3 linked regions of the Cricetulus griseus genome follow. The protein of the gene in region 3 interacts with the protein of the main gene of each other region in a pairwise test. Links are inferred from orthologs where the notes say so. Each region holds a gene or a part of one and is shown on either strand. Other genes may lie near its edges.

The links.
Region 1: the proteins of Tns2 (region 3) and Kprp interact in binary tests that used the Homo sapiens proteins (3 or more experiments, as listed by UniProt). The two-hybrid records come from large-scale screens. The link is inferred for Cricetulus griseus from reciprocal best matches to the Homo sapiens genes TNS2 and KPRP.
Region 2: the proteins of Tns2 (region 3) and Otx1 interact in binary tests that used the Homo sapiens proteins (3 or more experiments, as listed by UniProt). The two-hybrid records come from large-scale screens. The link is inferred for Cricetulus griseus from reciprocal best matches to the Homo sapiens genes TNS2 and OTX1.

Annotation. Positions count from the first base shown.
Region 1 is NW_023276806.1:63,077,447-63,082,982, forward strand, and holds Kprp (keratinocyte proline-rich protein), read left to right. Parts: upstream 1-2,536; coding exon 2,537-4,489; downstream 4,490-5,536.
Region 2 is NW_023276807.1:84,694,489-84,700,345, reverse strand, and holds Otx1 (homeobox protein OTX1), read right to left. Parts: upstream 3,751-5,857; coding exon 3,654-3,750; intron 2,811-3,653; coding exon 2,659-2,810; intron 1,307-2,658; coding exon 488-1,306; 3' UTR 104-487; downstream 1-103. UniProt on the Homo sapiens protein: Probably plays a role in the development of the brain and the sense organs. Can bind to the BCD target sequence (BTS): 5'-TCTAATCCC-3'.
Region 3 is NC_048595.1:398,514,242-398,519,266, forward strand, and holds the end of Tns2 (tensin-2), read left to right. Parts: intron 1-91; coding exon 92-217; intron 218-432; coding exon 433-525; intron 526-638; coding exon 639-716; intron 717-868; coding exon 869-946; intron 947-1,378; coding exon 1,379-1,547; intron 1,548-2,743; coding exon 2,744-2,812; intron 2,813-2,927; coding exon 2,928-2,957; intron 2,958-3,067; coding exon 3,068-3,206; 3' UTR 3,207-3,633; downstream 3,634-5,025. Other genes in the region: Spryd3 (SPRY domain-containing protein 3), read right to left, coding at 4,838-4,972. UniProt on the Homo sapiens protein: Tyrosine-protein phosphatase which regulates cell motility, proliferation and muscle-response to insulin. Phosphatase activity is mediated by binding to phosphatidylinositol-3,4,5-triphosphate (PtdIns(3,4,5)P3) via the SH2 domain.

The sequences.
Region 1 (5,536 bases), on a different chromosome or scaffold from region 3:
TTAGATTGCATGGCATATATAGAATGAAGAATGAGGAAGCTTTGTAGGACTAGGAAGTTGTATGCTCTATTTATGGAAGGTAGCTAGCTGTTGTCAGGCTGATGAAAGGCAGGATGAAAAATCAAATCCTAGACAGATTTGATTTTTAAAAGAAAACCTGGAGATCCAGAACCTTAACTAAAGTCTCTATTTACAAATTCTAGTTACTACTACTAACAAGATGCAGACAAACCAACTTGTTTTTATGTGGCTCATGGGGCCACCTTGTCAGTTCTGTTTTGAACTGTGCTGTCTCCAAAGGCTACTCCATCACATTAAGTGACTTACACTGCTTTGGAAGACTGCTCTATACCATCTGCTGAGCACCTGCTGGACAGCCACCTGTCTCCTCAGCTTCAGACTGGGTTGGAGCAGATACCCATTGACCCAGCTGTATCTGTTGCTTGTGGCACACTTACTCTTGAGAAGATGTTGGATATTTTGAACATCATTGGTTTTGTATGGTAAGATGGGTTTGTATGAAAGAATTGCTGTAGTCTCCATGACAACTGTAAAAAGGAGATTTAATTTTATCCATTTTGTAGAAGAGTAAATTCATACCTAGTTTGGTTATAAAGGTCCCCAAGCTGTAAATCATCAACATGAGACACTAGATGCAACTTTCGCCATTCTAAAGTTGACAGGATTTTAGACTTTAAACTCAATTGCTTTAAGTTAAGGGATGCTTCTGTCTTGTGAGAATTGGAGGCAAGGAGAAGGTAGGGCATGGGATCATTTTCCAGGAGACATGATACCTTCATGCTTCCTCACCACCTTCACCACTGGGTTCCGCTGGAATGGAGGGGGGAATTGATAGGGTGAAAATGGAAGAGGAAAACAATAATCTGCTTCTTCATAGCCTGGAAGCTTCAGCACTAAGGCAAGGCACTCCCAGCTCTGTAGGTGACTAGACGGACAGCACATGGGGAGGGAATTGGCTGGTGGAATGTTACCTTGGGCAGATGCCAACCAGCTGTCTCATGGTCTGAGCCAGACCCACAACTCTTTATATAAGCACAGCCCTCTGGCCAGATGCCTTAGCCTGAATGACTTTGAGCCTGCTGAAGAGGGTAAGTCTGGAAGCTTGGTCCTGGGATTGTGCTGGGGGTGATGTACAAGGGGTTCCCAGACTCAAAAGAATGATTAAGGGAGAACCTGGGGCAGAGGTGCATCAGTCTGAGGAGAAAAACCACCTAAGAAATATAAAACATATAGAATTTATGGGCTGTAAAGTGTATTTATCTTTGACAGCCCTGGTTTCTTCTCCAGGTACCATTTTCTTTTGTTAGGAACTTGTTTTCCATGGAGAAGATACATTGTTATTTATTTTGTGTGGATCACCCGCTCTAGGGAACACAGACAAACACTTGTAACAAACGGAAAATGTCTAGCTCTGTCTTCCAATAGAAGTATTTTTGGTATTTTGGGAGATTGTAAGAGGTGCTGTGTTGTATGGTTCTATTGCCAAATTAGGCCTGTGCTGTGCTGGTCACTGGGCTACCTGAACACAGGCAGGTGGCTCTGGAAAGAACAGCTGAGTGGGAGCTGCTGTGTTTTCATGTTACTAAGGGTAGTATAGGAGTGTATGCCTGAATGTCTTAAGTCTTGTTGTTATGACCTTACTATATAGCTCTATAAGTGTGCCTGAATGTCCTTACACAAAGCCTTGAATGTGACAAAGGATCTGCCAGTCTCTGGGTTACCTCAGTTTCACTAACTATCCTACATCTCATAAGGTCTGAGGAGAAAATGTTTCTGAAGCCAGCAGACTGTCACCCTCCAGATCACTAACAGCAGCAACCTGCCTGAGCAAATGCACATGTTGATCCCAAGACTAGTGTGTTTTGTATATGAAGTATAAATAAATTTGCCTATTTCTATGAGTGTCTATTTAAGTGAACTCACTTTAAAAAGATTGAATGCCAGGCAGCAAATATTAAGCTCTAGGACTGACATGTCCAGAATCTGCCTGAATCCTTTGCTTTTCAGTAGACTCTTTGATGTAATGTGAACCTAGATGATGCCTGTGTTTTTGTTTTTGTTTTTTTCCCTGTGCTCATTTTTACATACATGTGTGGGATGTGTGAGGAAATCCAGGCTTCCATGGGTGTGGAAGCCTCAGTTTGGGCTATGCATTGTAAGCAAGCTGTCACCTGTTATTCCCGTAGGACTATTTCCACCACCAGACTTTTTAAGTGTAGAGAATGTGCTTGTCAGCAGTGCTCTCTGGTGGCAGACTTTGGCATACATACTTTTATATCTAGCTGTACAGAATCCACCCTTTTTGGCAAAACGCATAGACAATGGTGACCAGCATGGGCTCCAGTTAAATTACTATCAGTAAGGATTCTTGGGTGAAGGTTGAGGGCGTATGAAGACAAGCCAGAGAAGATGTCAGGCTCCTGGCTCTGGACCCAAGCTCCTCTCTCCCAACTCTGAGCCTCTTGACCCTGGTTTCTCTACCCTCAGGTCTTGCTCACCCACCTACATCAGGACAATGTGTGACCAGCAGCAAATTCCGTGTTGTGTGCCGGTACCTCAGTGCTGTGTCAAGGGTTCCTCTTTTGGTCCCTCACAGTTTTCTTATGCCAACAACCCAGTGCTGGTCCAAGCTCCATGTGAGATGCAAGTTCTGCAATATGTTACACCAGGCCCAGTTCAAGTTTCCCAGACTCCATGCCAGTCGGGTACCACTGAAGTGAAGAGCCAGGCTCCGTGTCCATCCAAGAGCACTAAGGTTAAATGTCAGGCTCCATGTCAATCAAAGACCACCCAGGTGAAATGCCAGTCTAAGACCACTGAGGTAAAGTGCCAAGCTCCCTGCCAGACTCAGGTTTCCTGTGTTCAATGCCAGGCTCCATGTCAGTCTCAGGTTTCCTATGTGCAAGTCCCACAACCTCTTCAGACCTACTATGTGGAATGTGCTCCAGTATATTATACAGAAACTAGTTATGTGGAATATCCTGTTCCGACCTATGTGCCTGCTCCGACTCCTCGACCTGCCCGCACCTATGTAGAATGTCCCTCAGTGGGCCAGGGTCAGGGAAGTTTCTCCACTCAGGGCCAGTATCAGGGCTCCTATGGCAGCTGCACCTCTCAGTCACAGTCACGGGGTTCCTATAACTGTGGTGCACAGTCTCAGTCCCAGGCTTCCTACAGTCGCTGTGTACCCCAATTCCAATCAGGGCCCTCCTACACTGACTGTGGACCGCAGCGCCAGTCACAGGCTTCCTATGGCGGCTGTGCCTCCCAATTCCAGTCTCGAGCATCCTACACCAACTGCTCCTCCCAGCGTCGGTCTGGGGTTTCCTTTAGCACCTGTGCACCCCAATGCCAGGCTCAGGGCTCCTACGGAAGCTTCACTACTCAGCAGCGTCGGTCTCAGAGCACTAGCAGATGCCTCCCTCCTCGTCAGCTGCAGCCTTCTTACCGAAGCTGCTCTCCACCAAGACGTTCTGGGCCCGGTTACAGCAGCTGCCTGCCATCCCGATGCTCTTCAGGATCCTACAACTATTGCACCCCACCCCGCCGCTCAGAGCCAATCTATGGCAGCCCCTGTCCTCCTCGGGGCCGCCCTTCGGGCTGTTCTCAAAGATGTGGACCCAAGTGCAGGGTAGAGATTTCATCACCCTGCTGCCCCAGGCAGGTTCCCCCACAGAGGTGTCCTGTCCAGATTCCTCCCATCAGAGGAAGATCCCAGAGCTGTGTCCGGCAACCTTCTTGGGGTGTCTCCTGCCCAGATCTAAGGCCACGTGCAGAGTCACAGCCATTCCCAAGGTCTTGCGGGCCACAGCGTCGCAACTGGTCTCCAGAACCATCATGGCAGCGGTGCCCAGTTCCTGCACCACGTCCTTGTCCAGAGCCACAGCGTCGTGACCTGTCTCCAGAACCATCATGGCAGAGGTGCCCAATTCCTGCACCACGTCCATGTCCACGTCCAGAGCCATGCCCAAGTCCAGAACCCCGCCCATGTCCTCCACTGCGGCGATTTTCAGAACCATGTCTATATCCAGAACCGTGTTCAGCTCCTCAACCAGCACCGCGTCCAGCACCACGTCCAGTGCCGCGCCCGCGCCCAGTTCACTGTGAGAACCCAGAACCACGCCCGCACCCACAGCCTTGTCCATATCCTGAGCCCATACCTCATCCTGAGCGCTGCTCCAGCCCAGAGCCTTGTGGGGAGCCCATGCGTTGTCCCAGTCCTTGCTCAGGCCCTATTCCAGTCCCCTACCACCAAGAACTAGGCTGTCATGAATCTAACCCATGCCGCCTGGATTCTGAAGGCCCTAGCCCATATAGCTGCAACCAGGGGCAAGAGAGTAACGACAACTGTAGAGCTGATGATGTCTTTCCAGGGCCACAGGGTCTAGGTGGTTGTGGAGACCAAGGAAACACCAATGGTGGAATGAAAGGTGGGGCTTATGCTGGAGCAAAGGGTGCTTACTTTTAAAACAAAATGCAGCTAAAAGCCCTTGCCTCGGGCTCTCTAGAATATTTTCTCTTCTCTTCTGGGTTAAATCTTTCCACAGACATCGTGATGCTCCCTGCTTCAAAACTGTTGTACAAACTCCTTGCATGTCATCTCACGCTCCATACCTGAGTCTCAGACATCATTCCAGCCTCATGTCTCACTCCTCCTCTGCACTCAGCTTTAATTCTAACCAGACCAGCTTGGCCACCAGGGCACTCCTTGGGTGTTCCTCTTGACATTCCCCAGATGCTCTGGCCTCTGCAGAGACTCCCTTGGCCTGAACCATTTCTCACATATTTCCCAGGGTCCAAAATTGTACCTGTCTTTTTATACCTCTCCCTTGAAGCCTTTTGTTGTTGCTTCTTGTTCCCACCCATAGGAGCCTATTCTAACTTCCTTGAGTTCATTGCCCATAACTCCATCCATTTAGCAAGAGCTTTGCAGCACTTCTGAATTCATTTCTCTTTGCAGTCATTGCCTTTTCTGCCCAACTACATTGTAAACTCTCATTCTAGTGGAGTCAGTATATCTTTAAATCTCTGTGCCCATCTTAGGTCAGGTAATAGTTGATCAGGGTTGTGGTTGGCAGCCTGAACCATGTTCTGTCCTTTGGGGGCAAGAGGAGGATGCATAATAATAAAAACTGGATGTGTTCACGGTTTGAGTCCTGAGTAATAATGTCTGCTCTTTATTTGATAACAGCTTGCTGAGATGGTTGATGTCTATCTAATCATGGTAAAAATACATGTAAAATTTATTAGCATAGCCATGCCAGTGGGATTAATTATGCTTGTGTTGTTGTATTACATTTACCACCATTCATCTATCCTATAGGGAAAAAATCTCGATACCTCATCCCACTTCCCTTTAGCCTCTACAGACCACCGCTGCGTTTTCTACCTTTTAAAATTTGACACTACATGTGTCACAGATAGACTCAAATGGCATTTGCAAATTTTAGTTCACTTAGCATCATGTTCTCCAGGTTCATCTTTGCTTTAGCATGTATCAGCTATTAAGGCAGCA
Region 2 (5,857 bases), on a different chromosome or scaffold from region 3:
GTGTGTGTGTGTGTGTGTGTGTGTGTGTGTGTGTGTGTGTGTGTGTGTGTGTGCACTCCAAACGGTAGATAATATGCCAGCTAGTGACTTCAGTGTCCAGAAAGAATAAATAAAACTGTTGAGCTCCAAACAGAGAGGGTCAGAGCGAAGAGCCTCAGAAGGCTCCGGGTGCATGAAAGCTGTCCAGAAAGACTTGAATGGGTGACTCACGAGTTGAGAGGGAGAGCACACTGCCATCCCGTGAAGAGACTGAGGGCCAAGCAGAAGCACCGGGCCCCACCTCCAAAGGGGAGAAGGGTCTACCCTCCCCCAAGCAAGTGGCACAAAGATGGGAGCGGCAGTGCAGGCAATGGACATCTTGGGGGCGTGAAAATTCAGTTTTGGAAAAGCCAAGGCAAAGGCGAGCGGTGCAGCAGCAGCAACAGGATGGGGACCACGGAGGGCGCAGGTAGTTGCGTTTCTTCTCCACTTCCTCTCATTCCTGGGCTCACAAGACCTGGAACCGCCACGAGGCTTGGTCCTTATAGTCCAGACAGTCGGGAGAGTTGAAGTTGAGTTTCCAGGCAGAGGAAGCAGCGGCAGCGGCAGGCTCCTTATAATCCAAGCAGTCGGCAGAGTTGAAGGCGAGCCCAGAGCCTCCATAACCTTGGTGATGGTGGTGGTGGTGATGGTGGTGGTGGTGGCCTGAAGATTGGCTCAGTGGGTGGTGTGCGTGCGGGTGGTGGTGGTGATGGCCAGCCATGGAGGAGGGTGCCATGGGGCTAAGCTGGTGCGGGTGGTGATGAGAGTGCATGGGCGCTAAGTAGGAGCTGCAGTCTACACCGCCAAAGTAAGAAGAAGAGGGCGCGGGGTAGCCCTGGCCGTAGCTTCCGCCCTGGCCATAGGACATGGGGTAAGAGGCCGCAGCAGTGGCGGCACCTGCGGCTACCGAGCGTTGCATACAGGAGGCGTTGCTCGGTGCGCCCAGTGGCTCTGGCACGGACACGGATGGCGGTGCTGAGCCTGGCGAGATGGAGGCCGGGCTCCAGATGGACGAAGCAGTAGGCGTACTCAGAGAGGACGCGGCTGCCACCGGGTTCCCACCCAGGCCCGCGGCCGCAGCAGCCGCGGGATTGGCGGAGGCACTGGACGCTGAGCTAGACGAAGAGGCCGAGCTAGACACGGCAGGCGGCGTGAACTGGCCGCTACTCTCCGAGCCCGAGCTCTCGCGCACTGGAGACGACTTCTTCTTGACCGGCCGGCTTTTCGTTCCGTTCCCGCTCTGCTGCTGCTGGCGGCACTTGGCACGGCGGTTCTTGAACCAAACCTGCAGTGAGCAGGGTGAAGGAGAAGGGATCAGGGGGCTGGCTAGTGGAGCTCACAGCTCCTCCGCCCCTCGGACTCACACCCCGCCCAGGATCTCAGGGACCTCTCAATCCCAGCCTCTACCCCTCCCAGTCTCTGGCCCTGCCAGACCCTGTCCCCTCCCCCGCACGTGCTAGGTCCCCAGCTCTGGCTCCCTCCCCCATCCTTCTGCGCAAAGCCCCCAGTCAGCCTCCACCGCAGGAGGGATGCGCACCTCCCCAAGCCCAGCGCAACTCTGCCCAAGGGCGGAACGTTTGCGTCTGTCCAGCCAGAAGTTCAGCCATCTCTAAGCTGTTGCAGTTGGCTGCTTCCCCGCAGCCCCGTTTTAGTTTGGAGGCCCTGTTTTCCAAGAACAGAGCTCAGGAAACAGCGGAGAGTACAGAACATCGGAGAGTAGGGCAGTCACCAAGTCTGGGGCCCGAGGGGTTTCACCGAGTCGGCTCCTGGAGACTGGAGTTGGGCAGGGCAAATATTTGGGTGGGAACAGAAGCAAGGCTGGAGGCTGAACTGAACGGAAGCAGTACTCCAGTACTGGGATTCTCGTGAAGGAAGCCTGGGTGAGGTTTCCTTGGGCCTTTTGGCTCCAGGTGGGGTACCAAATGGAACGATAAGTCATAAATTCGCACTCCTTTTGGAGGGGCCCGGACACGGGGCATTGCATTCCCAGTCCCTTCTCGAGCCTTCAGGGAAAGAAGTTGAGACAAAAGACTCTCGAGGAAGAGTTTTAGACTAACTCAGAACTCCTATTTTCTGAACTGTTTCATTTTAGAAACAGTAAACCCAGCATCTGGATTTTGCACTCGGCCTCCACTCGGCTGGAGAAAACTCCAAACCATACCGACTCCACCCTCAGAGCACACTCCAAGGCAGATTGCGCTAGGCTGTGACCAAGTTCCATCTTGCACTTTTAGAATCCCCAGGACTCAAGGGAAGGGTAAGAAAGACAAGAGCGGAAGGAGAGCTAAGGCTCAGTAGGAAAACGCCAAATTCTGTTGTAGCCAGGAAGCAGGGGCCATTATCTAACCTTCTGGGAAAGTTACACCCGGGGGACACGGCTGGCCTTTCCAAAATCCAAAAACCGACTTTCAACAATGAAAGCGCCCTGGGGACAAGGGCTAGAGAGATGTTGGGCTCTAAGCCATTACTTTTTAAAATGTTACCCCCCTTTAGCTGACTGAAGCCCAGCACTAGGGGGAGTTAGAGAGGGGCTGTCCAGTCAGTGAATGGGCCCCAACACCAGATGGCCCAGGTCGGATCTTCCCCGACCGCTCCTAGCGCCCCTACCCTAATCCTAGAGTCCCAAAGACCACGCACCTGGACTCTGGACTCTGGCAGGTTGATCTTGAGCGCCACCTCCTCTCGCATGAAGATGTCCGGGTAGCGAGTCTTTGCGAAAAGGGCCTCCAACACGTCCAGCTGTGAACGCGTGAAGGTGGTGCGTTCCCGTCGCTGCTTCCGCGGGGTGGCTGTGGGGACATACAAGGGCACCTGGAGTCAGCAGTGGACCTCGAGGACTGGAGCTAGAGGCCACACGCAGGTCTTCTGGTAGGTCCAGAACCCTGCCATGGAAAGGAAAGGCCGACCTCCGCGCAAAAGCAAACTTCCCTGCCCACAGGTGGGGCAAAGTGTATAAATTGGGCTAGAGGCTCCTGTCTGAAAGAAACATCAGGGCCTCAGCCCTCCTTGTCTCTCAGATAAAAAACAAAGCCATCCCCTCCTCATCTCCCTAAGCCCACTTCTGGCTGAAAGGTAGGAAGTAGAACAGAGGTAGGTAGAAACAGGACCTGGGAAAGCTTTCCAAGTGAATAAATTCAAGCAAAGAAGTAGGATCCAGAAAATAAATTCGGGGTTCAGTTGGAGTCGTCTGCCACCACGGAAGAGCTGGGTCAGGTCCCTGGTCTCTAGGGCACTCTGACTAGGGAGAAAGAGCTCTGCTTCTCAAGGCAGCTAGACATAAGGGAAGTTTGGCTGTTTACATTAGGGCCTATCGAGTCCAGATTCCTCGTGAAATGTTTGGGCGGGCAAGATTTTATTTTTTTAAAAAAGCAACCGGTGGGAAATACGTCGGTGGACAAACATGCTTTCTCTAGCATGTGAGACCACAACAGGAGCAGGCACCACAAGCTCAAAAGTTGTAGGTCACAGTTTCTAAACTCAAACCGGAGAGCCTGTAGCAGATCTGGGCAACAGACACAGAGATAATCATATCCCTGGGCCTGTTTGGGGACTGTGTGGGCTCAAACGTTAAAAGCTGGAATCCCCCAATATTTGCACAGGCTTGGGGGTAGGGACATAGGGCCACCGCTCACCAGGATAGCCCACAGAGGGGTGTAGGAGGTCCATGGCAGGGCCAGCTAGGCCCAGCCCGTTCATGCCGTATGGGGGTTGTTTGAGGTAAGACATCATGCTAACTGCCGGGTGGAGGCGCCCCGACGGATCCAGGGGGCCTGGGGCCAGGAGCAGTTCAGGGCTCCCACTTCGAAGTCCTTCAAGCTGTTGCTTCTGGGGGCCTGGCCTAAGGAGACAGGAGACACATGGAAACCGTCACCCGCAGTCACTTTGGCTTTCAGTTCCTATAATCCTAGAATGGGGAGGGGGGCAGGCTAGGAACTTAACAGGGCAGGCAACCCAAGAAATTTCTCCTCCAAGCTCAGCAAGCCGGCTTCTTAGAAAAGTAAACTTTCCCCACATCGTTCCTTCCTCTTTTAGGGCTTGACAAGGGCCAAAGACACTCCTTGAGTGTCAACAGGAAAGAAAACTTAAAAGCGCGATCAGGCCGAGGAGGTGAGAGCCGGGACCGGGGAGGGTGCAAAATCCCAAGTGTAGTCTTTTTTTTTTAGTGCTGCGGAAGCAATTTGCTCAAGCAAATGTTCACTTGGCGCCGGGATGGCAGGCCGTACAGAGCGTACGTACCGGGTTATTTTGTTTAAGTTTCAAATGTTTTTGAAAGAGGGACAAAACCGCTGGCACTACAGAGGTCCAAGGTTAGTACCCCTTGGATCGCCCAGGCAACTGCCCATTTTGGTCACATCATTCCTTCAGAGATCTCCAGAGCAGCCCCCTCCCCCAGAGTCCCAATCACCATTCTATCTGACCTCTCTGGGCCCCTGACGCTAGGAGATGGGTGAACCGGAATTTCAACGCACTTCTAGGGTAGATGTGGCCCAGGCCCGGGTGAGGCGGCGAGAAGATGCCAAAGGCGCCACAGTAGAAGTGGCAGTTTCAAGAAGCCGCCCAAGGTCAGGGGTGCCTCAAAGACGGTCACCCGTCCTCCTAAGCCCACGCAGGCCCGACCTTCTTTCTACCAAGTCCGAGAGAGCACACCGAGTCCCACCAGGGTCTGATAAAGGATGACCAGCCCAGCGGCTCAAAGCATGCTGGGGAGTTCAGAAGCCAGAGCACCCTGGATCGCGTGGGCTCCTCGCCGTCCTCTCCTGAACTCGGTGGAGAGCAGAGAACTAGGCCTCAAGTCGGAAAGCTCCCGCACACCCAAGCTGGGAGCGCTAGGCTCGGCCGAAGACACTGCGAGCCCCTGGCGCTCTTCTCCAGCGGAAGAAGGGGTTCTGGGGGGGTAGGGCTGGGACCCGAGAGGGGGGCTTCTAGCTACACCCGGCTTTACAGGGAGCCCAGGGTGGGAACTCAGGGAAAAAGGAGGCAGGACTTAAGTAGCTTTCCCATCCCAACTCCAACCCCTGCTTCGGTCCTTGGGGTCCCGCGGCCTGGACTAAGGGAGACCAGCAGGCGCGGAAGGCGGACGGAACCACAAGGGAAACAGCGCACTTGGGCCGGAGAACCACAGGCCACCAGCCGCCGCGGTTCTGCGAAGGTGCTGCGTGAGTTTTCGAATACTTAGATCTAACTTAGCACCCCAGCTCCGCAGCTTCGGAGGAGGCGGGGGAGGGGTGCCCGGCTCAGCAGAGGCCTAGGGTTCTCAGCACAGCCAAGGGGGTGCCCGGCCATTCACCCCAGCCCCGCCCACCTGCCGGGGATCTGGGGGAGCGGGGGTCGATTCGAGGAAGAGGAGGCGAAGGGAGCCAACACCGTCCCCGGGCAGGGCGGCGCGCGGCCCCTCGGCTCCCTCCTTACCTGCCCTCCGCTGCCGGGGCTGTTCACCATCTACCTCGTGCCCTCAGCAAGACCCTCCGGGCAGCCAACCTGCAAAACAGAGCTGCACAGGTATTACCCCGGCGGCGGGTCTAGGACCCCCGCATTCCTTCTTTCCCCAACTTCCCTATTCCCGTCTCCTGCTTTTTCCAGGAGCTCTGTGCGTGTTTCCCCAGGTTTCACATTATTGCACAAATACTTTGTTTGCAAAGTCCCACATGCTTTTCCTCCCAAGACCTGGCCTCAACCGGGACGGGGTGGGGGGGCGGTGTTCGAGGGACAGAGTTAGGTGGTGGTTCGCGGTGGCCGCTGCACTCCCGGTGCAACATGGAGGCGGTAGAGACTGAAGAAATCCTGCGTAGTCACTTGGCAAACTAAATAAATCAAGCAATTTACCTTGTCGGAGTGG
Region 3 (5,025 bases):
AATCCTGCCGTCCACATGGCTGGCTGGCCAAGTGGGACCAGCTAGTGGGGCTGTGTGGGGCTGCCAGCCATCTCTGACTTTTGCCCTGCAGCCATTGCCCTGCTGAAAGACAAGGACCCTGGGGCCTTCCTGATCAGGGACAGCCACTCATTCCAAGGAGCCTATGGGCTAGCCCTCAAAGTGGCCACACCCCCACCCAGCGCCCAGCCCTTAAAAGGTACAGCATCCTCAAACTGAGGGAATGGGTGTGGAGAGGGGAGAAGCTGCAGAGCCAAAAGTAGAGAGATGCACAGGACATCTCCATGAAGGGTAGGGGCAAAGCAAGTCCCCTTGCTCCCGGCTCAGGAAAGAGTTCCTGAGGAGGGGGAGGGGAGAAACTGAGAATCTGGAATTCAGTAAAGCTTCACTTTCACCATCCCTCCCTCCTCTCAGGAGACCCCTCAGAGCAGTTGGTGCGCCACTTCCTCATTGAGACTGGGCCCAAAGGCGTGAAGATCAAGGGTTGTCCTACTGAGCCCTATTTTGGTGAGAAACAGTGTCAGAGGGTTCTAGGGGGTTGGTTAAGGGAGAGGCCTCAAGAGGGCGAAGATAGAAGGCTATCCACAAGCCCTTCAGGATTTTTTCCCCTCCCTTTGCAGGCAGCCTCTCTGCCCTGGTCTCGCAACACTCCATCTCTCCCATTTCCCTACCCTGCTGTCTTCGAATTCCCAGTAAAGGTGTGTAATGTCTCCTCAGCTCTCATCACTCCTACAGCCAAATACAGAGGTCCTGTCTCCCCACCCCTTCCCTTATGGTGGCTAAGGGAGTCCACTAGCACCTAGGGAAGGCTCTCCCTCTTGACCTTCCTTGGTGGTGCTCATCTCCTCAGATCCTCTGGAAGAAACCCCAGAGGCTCCAGTTCCCACCAACATGAGCACAGCAGCAGACCTCCTGCGTCAGGGAGCAGGTAAGAGACTCGCTTCCCCTCCCTCTCCCTGGTGGTCAAGAGGACACTGTAGACTCCAGATACAGGGAGAGGCATTGATAGGACTGTAGAAGGTAGACCCAGCAGATACATTTAACCCCACAAAAGCAGAGGAGCCCACATTTTCAGGAGGCAGGGAAGGGGTCACAGGCTAAGTTCTCAGGGTTTACAACACAGGAGTCACAGCTGCAGCAGAGGAAAGAACTTGCACTGTTGCTGGCTGTAAATCCCTTGGAGTCTGGGAGTTGCCTTTCTAACTTGTCAGTGTGTGATTCTAGTGCATTCAGATAGCACTCTCAGGGAAAAGCATGAGAAGATTATATTAGACAAGAAGCTAAAGGGTGACTCAAAGGTGGCAGATCTTGGTTCTGGCACAGCCATACTAGCTCATCAACCTTCTTCCTGTCTCTTTAGCCTGTAGTGTGCTCTACCTGACCTCCGTGGAGACAGAGTCACTCACTGGCCCTCAAGCTGTGGCCAGGGCCAGTTCTGCAGCTCTGAGCTGCAGCCCCAACCCAGTACCAGCCATTGTCCACTTCAAGGTTTCAGCTCAAGGCATCACACTGACAGACAACCAGAGAAAGTGAGCCCCGGGGCACCAGCCTCTTTAGAGTCCCAAAGAAGGACTTTGGGAGCCTGGATTTTTCTTTGTCTTTGTGTGTGTGTGTTATGTGTACATACATGTTTGCATTTATGTGTGGAGGCTCCAGTTTGGTAATTAAGTATCTTTCTGGTCCCAGGTAGTGGTGGCATATGACATTAATACCAGTACTCAGGAGGCAGAGGCAGGTGGATCTCTGATTTTGAGGCCAGCCTGATCTATATATTGAGTTCCATAATAAGCAGGACTACACAGAGAAACCTTGAAAAACCTTGGGGAAAAAATCTTTTTGGCAGCATAGGCTACAAAGCTACATAGAGAAAGTCTGTCTCAAAAAAAAAAAGATATTTTTGGATCTCTCTTTCACCTTATTGAGACAGGGTTCTCTCAATCAAACCCAGAAGTCAGAGATGCAGCTCGTCTTGCTAGCTAGCTTGCTCCTGGGACTCTGTCTCTGCTTTCTGAGGCTGGAATTATGGGTCCTGGGGATTCAAACTCATTCTCTATGGCTAGTACTCTAACCTCTGGGCCACCTCCCCAGCCCAGAAATCTTTGTTTCTTTCTTTCTAAAAATTAACTTATTTACTTTTATTTTATGTGCATTGATGTTTTGCCTGCATGCCTATCTGTGTGAGAATGTTGCACCCCCTGAACTGGAGTTACAGATAGTTGTGAGCTGCCATGTGGGTGCTGGGAATTGAACCCAGGTCCTTTGGAAGATCAGCCAGTGTTCTAAACCTCTGAGCCATCTCTCCAACTCCAAAACTTGGATTTCTTTTTCTTTTTTCCCTGTCCCCCCTCCTGGGTTTTCAAGATGGGGTTTCTCTGTGTAGCCCTGACTGCCCTGGAACTGACTTTGTAGCCCAGACTGGCCTAAACTCACAGAGATCTGCCTGCTTCTGCCCTCGGAGTGTTGGGATTAAAGGTGTGCACCACCACCACTAGTGAAACCTGACTTTTCTTTTTTTATGTTATTTACTTAATGTGCTCTATCTGCATGTATGCCCTCAGAGGGCATCAGATCCCACTATAGATGGTTGTGAGCCATCATGTGGTTGCTGGGAATTGAACTCAGGACCTCTGAAAGAACAGCTAGTGCTCTTAATCTCTGAGCCATCTCTTAAGCCCAAAACCTGGATTAGAGGTGTGACTTTCCTTCTCCAACCTACTCCTCACAGGCTCTTCTTTCGTCGTCATTACCCAGTGAACAGCATCACCTTCTCTAGCACTGACCCCCAGGACCGCAGGTGAGCCTTCCTTGGATCCCTTTCCCAACCTATGGTCCTCCCACCCTCAGCTCCAGCTCACCCTTCAGGAGCTGTGCCCTCGGCTGTACTTCTTCAGGGCTCTCTCTCTTTACAGATGGACCAACCCAGATGGAACCACGTCCAAGTAAGTCTCCTTGTGCGCCCAACCCTAGACAGGCATGAGCTGACCCACACGGCCAGCTTCATCCTCCTGGCGAAGGAATATAAAGGTCCTCCCTGGCTTTGTCCCTGTAGGATCTTTGGTTTCGTGGCCAAAAAACCAGGAAGCCCCTGGGAAAATGTGTGTCACCTCTTTGCGGAGCTTGACCCAGACCAACCAGCAAATGCCATTGTCACCTTTATCACCAAAGTTCTACTGGGCCAGAGAAAATGAAGGAAAGCTGCAATCTCTGAGCCCACATCAACACTGCACTCTCCCAGCACCCACAGCTCTCACTGTCTTGGCCTGAATCCAGGAGCCCTAGGAGCCAGCGTCCTCCCTATGAAAGAGAGTGTGGCACCAGCCTGGGCCACTGTTCTTGCCCTTGCCTGCTAAGCTAAGTGAGTGGGCCCATGAGATGACCTGGCATGTGACCAGATGGCAGAGACAGGTGTAAGGGGTGAGGCGGTATCAGTAGTGGAGGCCTGGTGGGGAATGGCCCTGCCAGCTCCACCCAGCTGGAGGTCCCATCATGGAGGGAAAGGGGAGAAGTGTGGGAGCTTTTGCCTCCCCTCTGAACGAGACCAGAGTGGGATCACATAAACAGAGGAAAAAAGAGAGTCTATTTTTGTGTACTAATAAAGAATTTCTATAAACTTTTGAGGAGTTGATTACTTCTTCATAGGAAGAAGAAAAACGTACATCTCTCTCAGAGACATGCCCCTGCTGGCCTGTGTCCCACAACTGCCCTGGGGCCATCTGCCCTCAGCTGTCTCTACCTGCTGGCCCGGGCCCTTTGACTGGAAAGGATTCCCTTTCTGTCCGTCCTGATAAATATGGAAACTCCATCTTTATTGGGTGTATAAACATCTCTGGTCTGTACATACATTTCATACATCATAGTGCAGGGGCCGGAAGGAGGGGCAGAGGAGCCCCAGCAGCACAATAGCACCCCCCAAGTCCTACCCACTGTGCAAACTGAGACCAAGAGCCCCTGAAATGGGGGGAGAAGATGGGGGGATTGGTTGCAGGTGAGGGGTCTATGTAGACGCTAGAATCATACACTGAAGCAAAAACAGTCAACTGGCACAAGCAGCAAGCTGGGGCACAGGGTCAGGGAGTGGGCAGGGGAAGGGACATAAGGGGCCAAGTTGCAGCTCTGAGCAACAGCCACAACAAAACACATGCCCTGGTGCCTTAGCCGCATCTAGGTGAGCCAGGGCTAGGGGTGCCTTGAGGAAGAGTGCAGACAAGGAGATGGGAGCAAAGGCTACAGTCCCCCACTGCCACACAGACTGGCCTTTCTCTCACACAGATACTGAGCACTCTGTGGGCAGGTAGGGAGCCAGGCTCGACTTTATGTGATGCTTGAGTGTGGGAGCGGGGCTGTCTCTCAAAGGAAAGAATGAAGACCCTAGATGTGATTTAGGACAGCAGCCAGTGAAAAGAGAGATAGCCAAGACAGGCCCCCTAGCCCAGCCAGGGGGAGACAGCAGCAACTGGGTGAAAAGAGGTTTCAGGGGGATTATGTGGTGAATAAGGACAGGCTACCTCTACTCCACCCTCGGCCCAAATAGCAGGTGGGCTTACACTTCTCCCAACTCTCACAGGGTCCAGGAAGGTATAAGGAGATCCAGGTGCCCACAGACCAAAGCAAGGGGGACCCTCCCATATATCAACACTGTTCTATACCCATTCCTATCACCACAGGCTCAGGCCCAGAGACAGAAGGTCCAGCCTGATTGGGCTCTGACTGAGCTGGTAGGGGAAGGGTAATGTCCTCCCAGGGCCTGATGGTGAGCAAATCCTGGGGAAGACTGGAGGGAGGCTGCAGAAGGAAAGGGGCAGATGTGCAGGTGAAGCCTCTAGCCACTTAATGGGTGCAGGTCTACTTTCACCTTCTCCCCACAACTGAGCATTCCAATGGTGGGAAAGAAGCCTCCAGAAGGCACAACGGCATCCTTCTTCCCAATGATCTTGCCATTCCGGGTAAAGAAAACCTGGTAGTGGAGGTGGAGAGAAGAGGGTGGACTCTGGTCTCTTCCCTAGGGAT